Nothobranchius furzeri: one gene and its partner. The protein of the gene in region 1 interacts with the protein of each later gene in a pairwise test. Links are inferred from orthologs where the notes say so. Each region holds a gene or a part of one and is shown on either strand. Other genes may lie near its edges.

Region 1 (4,687 bases):
AATGTATACTGTGCTTTTAAATATCGATTCAGTATCATATCACAAACTATCGCAATATTTCAATGTATCGATATTTTCTTCTGTCCCTAGCACAAACAAATCCAAATAATAAACATTACTCTTTTTGTTTAGACTGCAGTGATCACATGGGTGGGACTCATTTAAGTATTTCTGATTTCAAGCTTTCAAGTAAACATATACCCAGTTAGCCAATCATGTCAGTTATGTAATTTAAAGTGTGTGGAATCCCGAAAGCTGCACTTTTAGGGGGGAATTCTAATGACAGGAAGGAGATGAAAACCTGCTCCAGAAAGATTTGAGCACACTTTGCTTTACACCCTTTTTTTTTGCATTTCTAAAGGTATAAAAACACGAAATCTAACTTGTCAGAAGAAAACTTAAGGATGGAGTGCCAGCCAACTTATCTTATCAGATATTTTGATTGATATTCCTTTGCATTGATCACTGCAAGTTCACATGAACAAAAATTCCACAGCTTTAAATTATGAGCTTTGCTACCTCTGGTGGAGAAAAGCTTTTAGAGCTTTATTATGGCGTTTTCCATCAGACAATGTTGGCCTTCCTATGCCATGTGGATGTGTTTCTTTTTAATATAGAACAAAAATATATCTGATTAACCCTTCAAAACTTGAAATAAAAAACTTATTACATTTAAACTTACATAATAGTCACAAGATAATTTGAATGGTACGTGTGTATTTGAGAAATAACGTCCCTCACGTATTTGTTCCAAATGCCTTGGTTTAAAATGACTTATTTTCAAAATTATAGTATTTTAATGTGTTTTGTGCTTGATGCATTCTTATTCTCATTGCTTATTTGTTTAGATTATTTTAAGAGAAAGCTCAGTAGATTGCAATTGTTGTCATGTCATCAATTCACAACAGGACAATTCCATTTGAAAGTATATAAAAAAGAAAGTCACAAGAAAATGTCCCTTTATTTTTATTTTTTGCTTTCATTCTTGTTAAATGCACCAGCACACAAATGTCTTCTACCTGGATTACCTCTTTATAATTTTTTATAGTGTTTTAGATTTTAAAGGACCCCTCACTGGTAAGAAGACTTTTTACTCAAAGCAACTTGGAAATTTGTAACTAAAAATATTTTTGCTATTTCAAATGTGAATAGAATATGTTTTAATAGTTGTGCTCATCCTTTTTTAGCAATGGCTTATTATTTTGTATTTGAAATTTAAGAAAAAAGCGATTCTTTTGTTTCTACTGGTTTCCAATGAGAACATTTAAATGACGAAAACACGAAATGCACGGACCCAGTTCTACAAACATTCATTGAACGAGTTAACATTTATAAAATTTTGAATTAGCATTTTATGTACCTTTATAAGAATCGTGTAATGAAACGTATTTACCTCGTTAGTTTTGTCTTCTTGGTCAAAAACAATTCAGTAACAACCGATGGTAACAACGCTCCCCCATGTGCCCCTGTGAAAAAAAAACTACTTGTTTCTAGTCGGACGCATTTGCTCGGTGCACTTTCAGAAAGGAGCGCCTCGTTCTCACGTTTCGGTGAGTGTAGTGGTGCAGGTGAGTGAACACGCTTATTATAAAATAATATAAAATTCAAACATATTACAGTTTATGCTGCCCGATTGCTGTTGTCTGTGTAATTTGAAGAAAGTCTTATGATGTTGGAGTGTTTGACGTCCCCATTCTGCTTGTTTTGAATGTTAGCTTTAAATAAAGCGATGAATGAAGCTAGCTGTTTGCTAACACAACATTAGCCACGGAATGCTATTCTATTCCTGTTTTAACGCTGGCAATGTAGCCGCACATGTTTCGGTATGTTACATAACTAATGTGGTGGCAGTTAAAAGTTTTCTTGCTTTCACGTATGACATTAATATTTGGAAAGTGATCGAAACTTTGTATTACGCTAGCTAATGTATTGTAGCGCATGGGTTATAACTGTCACTATGACAACCAGCTGGACAGAACAGACCTCTCAGACGTTTTCTGATCTAGCAAACAACATAAATATCGTTTTATTGTGGTACATTATTTACTAAAAGGTGTGTCTCATTGCCAAATCAAGTTTTGGATCTGATCTTTACCGTTTTAGTATGATCAGGTTTACACATTAACTATTGTTTTTAATAATTTGACTTATTTTGAGTCATAATGTGAGATACAGACAAATAACTGGTCAGTAGAAGTTGCATTGCTTAATTATTCAGAAACGTAAAACAATCTACTTAATATTACAAGTTTTTCTTGTTGTGTTTCACCTGATGCAGATGGCGGCTACAAAGGTTCCAGAGGTTCGTGATATCACACGGATTGAAAGAATTGGTAGGTGTGGACGTCTTGAACCGTTAACTAATCAAAAAGCTAATTTATCATAAGGGTGTATGATGCTGCTAGTTGTGTGTGCTCTTTATTTTTCCTTCAAATCCACCTTTTTGCGTTCAGGGGCCCATTCTCACATTCGGGGCCTTGGCCTGGATGATGCTTTGGAGCCAAGACAGGTACTCTTGTCTCTGATTCATTTGCTGTGGACTTCCTGTTCATGCTCTCTAAAGAAACTCTGTTAAGTCTTTTAAAAGAAAAAAGCTGTTTGTAAAATGTGTTGTTTGGTTACTACTAATGCATATACTTTGCTAGAACTGGTTAAACTGAAAATACAGTAGATAGCCTGTGTAACCTCAACATCACATCACTTCAGACATTTTCTCTTATATTATCTACCAACACTTTAGAATATTGAGCAGTGTTGTTCTTTTAGGTTTAGTTAATTTTCCAGCATTAATGTGTGTGAGGTTTTGTCTGAAGGAGACTTGATCCTCTTCACCTGCAGGTTTCTCAGGGGATGGTTGGACAGCTGGCTTCCCGTCGGGCAGCAGGGGTCATCTTGGAGATGATCAAAGACGGCCACATTGCTGGCAGGGCGGTCCTGATCGCTGGCCAACCTGGCACGGGAAAGACTGCCATTGCAATGGGTGAGAGCCGAGTTGGAAGCTGTCCATGGATGTAAATGTTTCAAGTTGCATTTTGTTTTGAATCAAGAGTTCCTGCATCCTGTTCCTGATGAGCTTGTCTTATAGGCATCGCACAGTCTCTCGGCTCAGACACGCCCTTCACAGCTCTGGCTGGTAGCGAGATCTTCTCCCTGGAAATGAGCAAGACCGAGGCACTGAGCCAAGCTTTTAGAAAAGCCATTGGAGTGAGGATCAAGTGAGACAGCGGTCACAGATACAGCATTATTTAATTATTTTTGTATGAAATGATTTGCCTTTGACTGTTTTTTCCGTATTTACAGAGAGGAGACGGAGATTATTGAAGGAGAGGTTGTGGAAATCCAGATTGATAGACCGGCCACCGGAACGGTGGGATACTTTCTCTAATGTTAGCTAGTAGTCTCAGAATTTATTGTCTCCCACTTTCTGTTAGCTTAAATACATTGATGTTATTCTCTTTGAAGAGTCCTGTTTAATAAAAATTATATTTTCTTTCCGTCAGGGTGCAAAAGTAGGCAAGCTGACTCTAAAGACGACAGAGATGGAGACTATCTATGACCTGGGCAACAAGATGATTGACAGTCTCAGTAAGGAGAAGGTTCAAGCTGGGTAGGTTCTGTTCGCACAACAAGACTCTCTAGTCTCGTTTTTCTCTGCTGGAGCGACGTTAGAACAAATCTATTTACTCTGTTTTTACAGAGATGTTATTACAATTGATAAAGCCACTGGGAAAATCAGCAAGTTGGGTCGCTCCTTCACCAGAGCCCGAGACTACGACGCCATGGGCGCTCAGGTGTGATGCCACTGTATTCAGATTGAGGATGCAGGTTGACTGATTGCTGGATTATTTTCTTTGTTTTGTCTTTTGTAGACCCAGTTTGTCCAATGTCCGGAGGGAGAGCTGCAGAAGAGAAAGGAGGTGGTACATACGGTGTCCCTCCATGAGATCGATGTCATCAACAGCCGCACCCAGGGCTTCCTGGCTCTCTTCTCCGGAGACACCGGAGAGATCAAGTCCGAGGTCCGGGAGCAGATAAATGCCAAAGTGTGCGAGTGGAGGGAAGAAGGCAAGGCAGAGATTATTCCCGGAGTAAGTTTTAGTGTGTGCAGATTTTTGAAGTTTGGGGTTTCTACCTGCTTAAACTACATAACAAATCATTTTGTTTGTTGTTTTTTCCAGGTGTTGTTTATCGATGAGGTCCATATGCTGGACATGGAGTGCTTTTCCTTCCTGAACCGGGCCTTGGAGAGTGACCTTTCTCCTGTTCTCATCATGGCAACCAACAGAGGCATCACCCGGTAGTGTTTATGCACATCCAGTGGAAAAAAAACTCACAGCTGAAGCTTTAATTGCTATGGAAGCCCATTCCCTCCACTCTGATAAAAAATTATCTCATAAATATGACATAGCTATCTCATTATTAAAATTAAATAATAAAATTATAATTTTTTTTTCTTCTAACTTCCCTATCTTATTATGAGATGGTAAAGTTGTAATTATGAGATAGGGGTTGCATGACTTTATTTTTTTTAAAGTCGACAGTCAAGTAATGAAAATCGAGTCGACTTCGACTAGTCGTTGATGACGTCATATACCTGAAGCGGCGGGGGGGGGGGTCGGTAGGTTCGCTGGAGTTTTTGACAATTAAAATTGCGCCCACATTTTCTAAGTTAAAGACATTTCTTTTA
Region 2 (4,767 bases), on another chromosome or scaffold:
TTCCAACAGGACAGGGATTTTTTCTCCTAATTGGAGTTGGAAGTTGATTAACATTTTTTTTCCTATCAGGTTTAAATCAAACTAAAACACAGAAAGAATCATGAAACGTTCTTTAAATAATCTTTTACGAGTTAAGGTCAAGGCGAGTGAGGATTAACGATGAAAGCAGCTCCAGCGAAGCTTTCAGGGTGGCCAGCGGCGTGCACGGACATAAGGGTATTCATTTAACACGAATGAAGCGTCTTCCTAACCGTGACCTCGGAGCCAACAAGGATGGAGCTTTGTGTGTTCTGAGTGTTTTACGAGGGCAGGAGTGAAAGGAGAGTTGTAGGGTGTGTGACCCTCGTAACGCTGCCCCCACCAGAAAATACAGCACACCTCCATGGTTTCAGAAAGATAAAGGTCAGGTGACATTCAAAAGTTTTTATATTCAGAAAAACAAATTCAACAAACATGTTCATGTCCTTTACTTCCACAACTAAAATGATGAAAATCGTCACAATCAGAGGGCTAAAACCTGAAACAAGGCACTGACGGTTAAATAAACAAACTAACAACAGCTTCTGTGTGAGCTGACAGCGCAGCGGCCGTCCTTGGTTGTTGTTTTGCTCACAGTCAGAATTCACTGAGTTTTACAGTCGGCGTCTCCTTCAGCCGCCCCCTTCAGCTTCTTCAGCTCCCTCAGGACTTCCGTCTCCAAGCTCAGGACGTCTTTGGGCTTCGCGTACTGATCCAAAATAAGAGAAAAGCATCCATCCTCACGCCTGATTCTTCACAAAGATCAGCAGAGTAAACTAAAGAAAAGCTAACTAACTAAATGTGAGTGTTAAAAACTAAAAATAACATCACCCTAATTATTTATACAGATTATGGTTTGCAGGAGCTTCTCTTATCACTTGAAAACAAACATACTTTTCCTATAGTTTGGCAGCTGATGCTGTGTAGGAGCACGTCTGAAAGGAATCACTTTAAACTCCTGCGTGTCTATCAGAAAAGTCATGTAAAGATATGAATCCTTCGTTCCTGATTTCTCAGACTTACGCTGATAATTAAAGTGTTGTTGGCGTGCGTGAAGCTGAGCGCAGACCTCTCAAGGGGCAGCTGGCTTCGATCCAGATCAGGAATGGTGAACTTCTTATAATATCTGAGGAGACAAGAGGAGAATGTTACAAGTCAATCCTGCAGCTCTGAGAATCGTGTTGTAAACAGCGCCAGCTTTAGGAAAGATGGGAGGATCGCACACAAGTGTGCTCAGAATGATCCAACAGCCAGTAGTCGATATAAATGTACTTTTTATTTGAGGTCTTGATGATGACGCATCTCTCAGGAGGCTCCACTGAAACACTGAAGACATCTCTGGGGTAGGGAAGGTTACGGACTCTCCACTGAAAGCTGGTTTTTGTGTCTTTACGCATGAAAACGGGCTGAGGAAACAAGCCAGAAGAAAAAAATCCCTTTATTTGCACACCTATGATTCTATAGTTCTATTGCAACAACAAAGTTAACAAAAATACTTACATTGGAACAATTTTCTTTAATCACATCCGAGTCCAGAGATGCAGTTACGTTAAATGGCTCTCCGACTTCCACCTGCCAGAAGCTTTGAACTCCCAGTGTGCTTTTGTGGCGCCACTTTCTTACTATTGTGCAAAAAAGTTTTTTTTTTATCATCTTAAACTAATCCAGTGCATGAACTGATGTGTGAAACTGGCACTGTGCTGTGAGAAACTACAAATATGTTGTTTACCAATGAGCTCATCTGTCTTCACATCATATTCTTCAGCCATTTCTTTTCCATCTGCAAAGAGGTAATGGATCTTTCTCTTTCCTGGAGGTGAAATTCGAACACATTTTGGAAAATCGGATTAAATAGGATGTTTGAGAAATGGAAAACTTTGGTGAAATAATATGTAAAAACACCTATAAGATGTGAAAGGTTGAATTTGTCCCAAAAGATCTATTTCTTAATATAAAAAAAGATGATGTAAATGTAGTGCATCTACAGATGACTGACGGAGTATAATGCTCACCACCTTTTACTGCACTCTTGTGATCAGCTTAGATGCTTAAATGTACTTCCAATGATGCAATGAAATCATCACTAAAGAGGCTCAGAATTTTCATCTAAGGTTCAGTGTTTGTAGGTGCAGAAGTCTGCGTGTTTAAACCTTTGCAAACAAAATTCTACATACATCAATCAATCAATAAATCAATCAATACTTTATTAATCCCAGAGGGGAATTAGAGTTTCAGTACACACAATTCAGATTTATTTATTTGCATTCTCATCAAACCATTGAAGTGAACTTGGATTACTCAGAGAGCACATACTGTAAAGGTACTGTTACAACAGATCCAACTATGTGCTAACAACACCCCTAAATGTAATCCATAAAACACTTACTTTATTCTTATAATTATAACTGTTCGCTGTTTTTGTTTGTTATTGTATCAACCGACATGTTTGAAATAAATGTAAATAATTAGCTAATCCAATGTTCAGGTTATTCAGCTAAAATGTTATTATCAAAAACAAAACAACAAGCACACAGTGAAATGTTAATTACATTATAACCTTCAATTAAAAGAAACACGGTTTTTAAAACGCACATTATATTCATGCTAGTTTAGCTGTTTGATGGATTACGCCGTTAGCTCGTTGCCTAGCAACGCTGACTAGCTTTAAAGCTAGCTACCAGATAGAGACGTAGATAAACCAGCTTGTCTGGAACATATAAATCAAACAAATCCAAGTTCGGTTGAAAATGTTATTATTTTCATTTACCGTCGTGAATCAATGCCGTTTTATTTGCTGATTTTAGAACATCGATCCAGCTTTGCTTAGCCATGATTCCAAGACGCGTTTATATAGCAACTTCCGGGACAAGCACGTAACCACAACAACCAAAGTCAACACACACAAAAGAAAATTATATAAACATATTGTTTGGACTTTTAAACTATATAATAATATGAAAACCATTAAATGTGTGTGTAAGTTAAAAAAAACGGTGACAATAAAGTTTACCAAAAACTAGCCGGACCCATTTGAACCGGAAGTGAATCATTTAAATAGAATTTCTGAGTTCCTGGTCCGCCTGAGCAGGGGTAATTGCTGATGTTTTGGCATTTAAAGTGTTTAATTGTGTGAATATGTTCTGAGGTGTCGTGTGGAATGTGTGGTTGTATAAAACGGTGTAAATACTGATTAGTTGATTTGTCCTACGTTAGCTACCTTTAGTCGTATCTAGCTGACCATACATTTTAATGTTTCCCTTTAGATAACGCGTTTTATGTTAGTGTAGCAGGATGAGGTAACAAAATATTGTCTTTAAGCACCATACTGGCATGCAGTAATGTTTTATGATGTTTTAGAAGTGAATGTATGCTGTAATAAGATTTTGCTGCAGATGTTTAGGTTGTTCCCAGTTTAGTCCACTGTTTGTTTACTTCATGCCTCAGGCCATCGGCTCCTCTCTTCTACTAACAAGATGGAGCCTCGTCACGGGATCATGAAAGCTTTCCCTAAAGTTAAAAGAGCTAAAGTGCTACAGGGAAAGGATGCGCCCGTGCTGAAGAAGAAACTTGATGAGTGTAACGTCACAGGTGATCAATCTGATTTTATGTGCATTCAAGCAACAACTTATGAAACAACTTGTTCCTTTTAAAACGTATTAAGAGAGCCAATAAGAGAAAATGAATTCTGTTATTCCTCCAAATAAATAAAGTATTCTCTTTGCTTCTTCTATTCTTATTTTTCCCTCCAGGAAACTTTTTTAACGACGTCACAGTGTACCTTCTGCCGGCGGGAATTGGAAAAGCCAGATGCCAGATCTTCCAGAGACAAATCCAACAGAATGGAGGGCAGATCCAGAGTTTCCTGAGTCCCAGTGTGACTCATGTGGTTGTGGATGACAGCATGGACTGTCACAGAGCACTTCGCTTGCTGAAAGTGGATTGTGTGCCGTCTGGTGTCCATCTGGTGAAATGCAGTTGGTTGAGTCTGTGCATCAGTGAGAAAAACCTGCTGGATGTGGAAAACTACAGACTTCTTTTACCCACAAGGTTCCTATCAGTATTTATTTATTTAACAGTTCATTTTTTCTCTAGTTTTGTTATGTGTTTTTCTTCCACTGTTAGGTGTCCTTGGGTGTCCTCAAAAAGGCTTTTAAATAATACACATTATTAATATTATGATTATTATTAGTTATCTAGTCAGGATGAATGTCTGTCTTGCAGTGATTGGGGTTTGTGGCAGTTTTCTACACTCTCAATTAGGGTTGTCACGGTATGAAAATTTAACCTCACGGTTATTGTGACCAAAATTATCACGGTTTTCGGTATTATCGCGGTATTTTTTAAACGGTGTTGCATATGTTCAGAAAGCATTGATAGTCCTGTTCTACACAAACTGAAATAGTTTTGAAAAGGTTTAACAGTGTTTATTAAACCTAAAATAACACAAAGCCTTAGCAAAAGTGCAACTTTTCACAAGTAAAGGAACAAATAGCTTCTTTTTCTGGAACATGTTACAGTAGTCAGTGCAGGTTTAAATGATACAAATCCAAACATTCAAAACATAAACAATATGTAAACAAATCAAAGAAACACCACTTGTTTTCTCATATACTTGTTTTCTTCATTATCAAAATGAAAATCTAAAACTCCAGTCCACACTTGACTTGAGCACTGTACAAGTCAACCTTAAAAAATATGTATTTAAAATAAATAGCCACTTTAAACAAATTACTAAAATAACTACTACAC

Evidence for each region.
Region 2: the proteins of ruvbl2 (region 1) and dpcd interact in binary tests that used the Homo sapiens proteins (3 or more experiments, as listed by UniProt). The two-hybrid records come from large-scale screens. The link is inferred for Nothobranchius furzeri from reciprocal best matches to the Homo sapiens genes RUVBL2 and DPCD.

The regions. Positions count from the first base shown.
Region 1 is NC_091750.1:65,677,773-65,682,459, forward strand, and holds the start of ruvbl2 (ruvB-like 2), read left to right. Parts: upstream 1-1,496; 5' UTR 1,497-1,568; intron 1,569-2,278; coding exon 2,279-2,333; intron 2,334-2,453; coding exon 2,454-2,509; intron 2,510-2,838; coding exon 2,839-2,980; intron 2,981-3,085; coding exon 3,086-3,215; intron 3,216-3,300; coding exon 3,301-3,367; intron 3,368-3,500; coding exon 3,501-3,607; intron 3,608-3,697; coding exon 3,698-3,791; intron 3,792-3,869; coding exon 3,870-4,088; intron 4,089-4,178; coding exon 4,179-4,297; intron 4,298-4,687. UniProt on the Homo sapiens protein: Possesses single-stranded DNA-stimulated ATPase and ATP-dependent DNA helicase (5' to 3') activity; hexamerization is thought to be critical for ATP hydrolysis and adjacent subunits in the ring-like structure contribute to the ATPase activity.
Region 2 is NC_091746.1:23,415,453-23,420,219, forward strand, and holds dpcd (protein DPCD), read right to left. Parts: upstream 2,922-4,767; 5' UTR 2,850-2,921; coding exon 2,786-2,849; intron 1,829-2,785; coding exon 1,748-1,828; intron 1,641-1,747; coding exon 1,519-1,640; intron 1,425-1,518; coding exon 1,291-1,424; intron 1,145-1,290; coding exon 1,042-1,144; intron 728-1,041; coding exon 623-727; 3' UTR 409-622; downstream 1-408. Other genes in the region: poll (DNA polymerase lambda), read left to right, coding at 3,492-3,606, 3,768-4,065. UniProt on the Homo sapiens protein: May play a role in the formation or function of ciliated cells.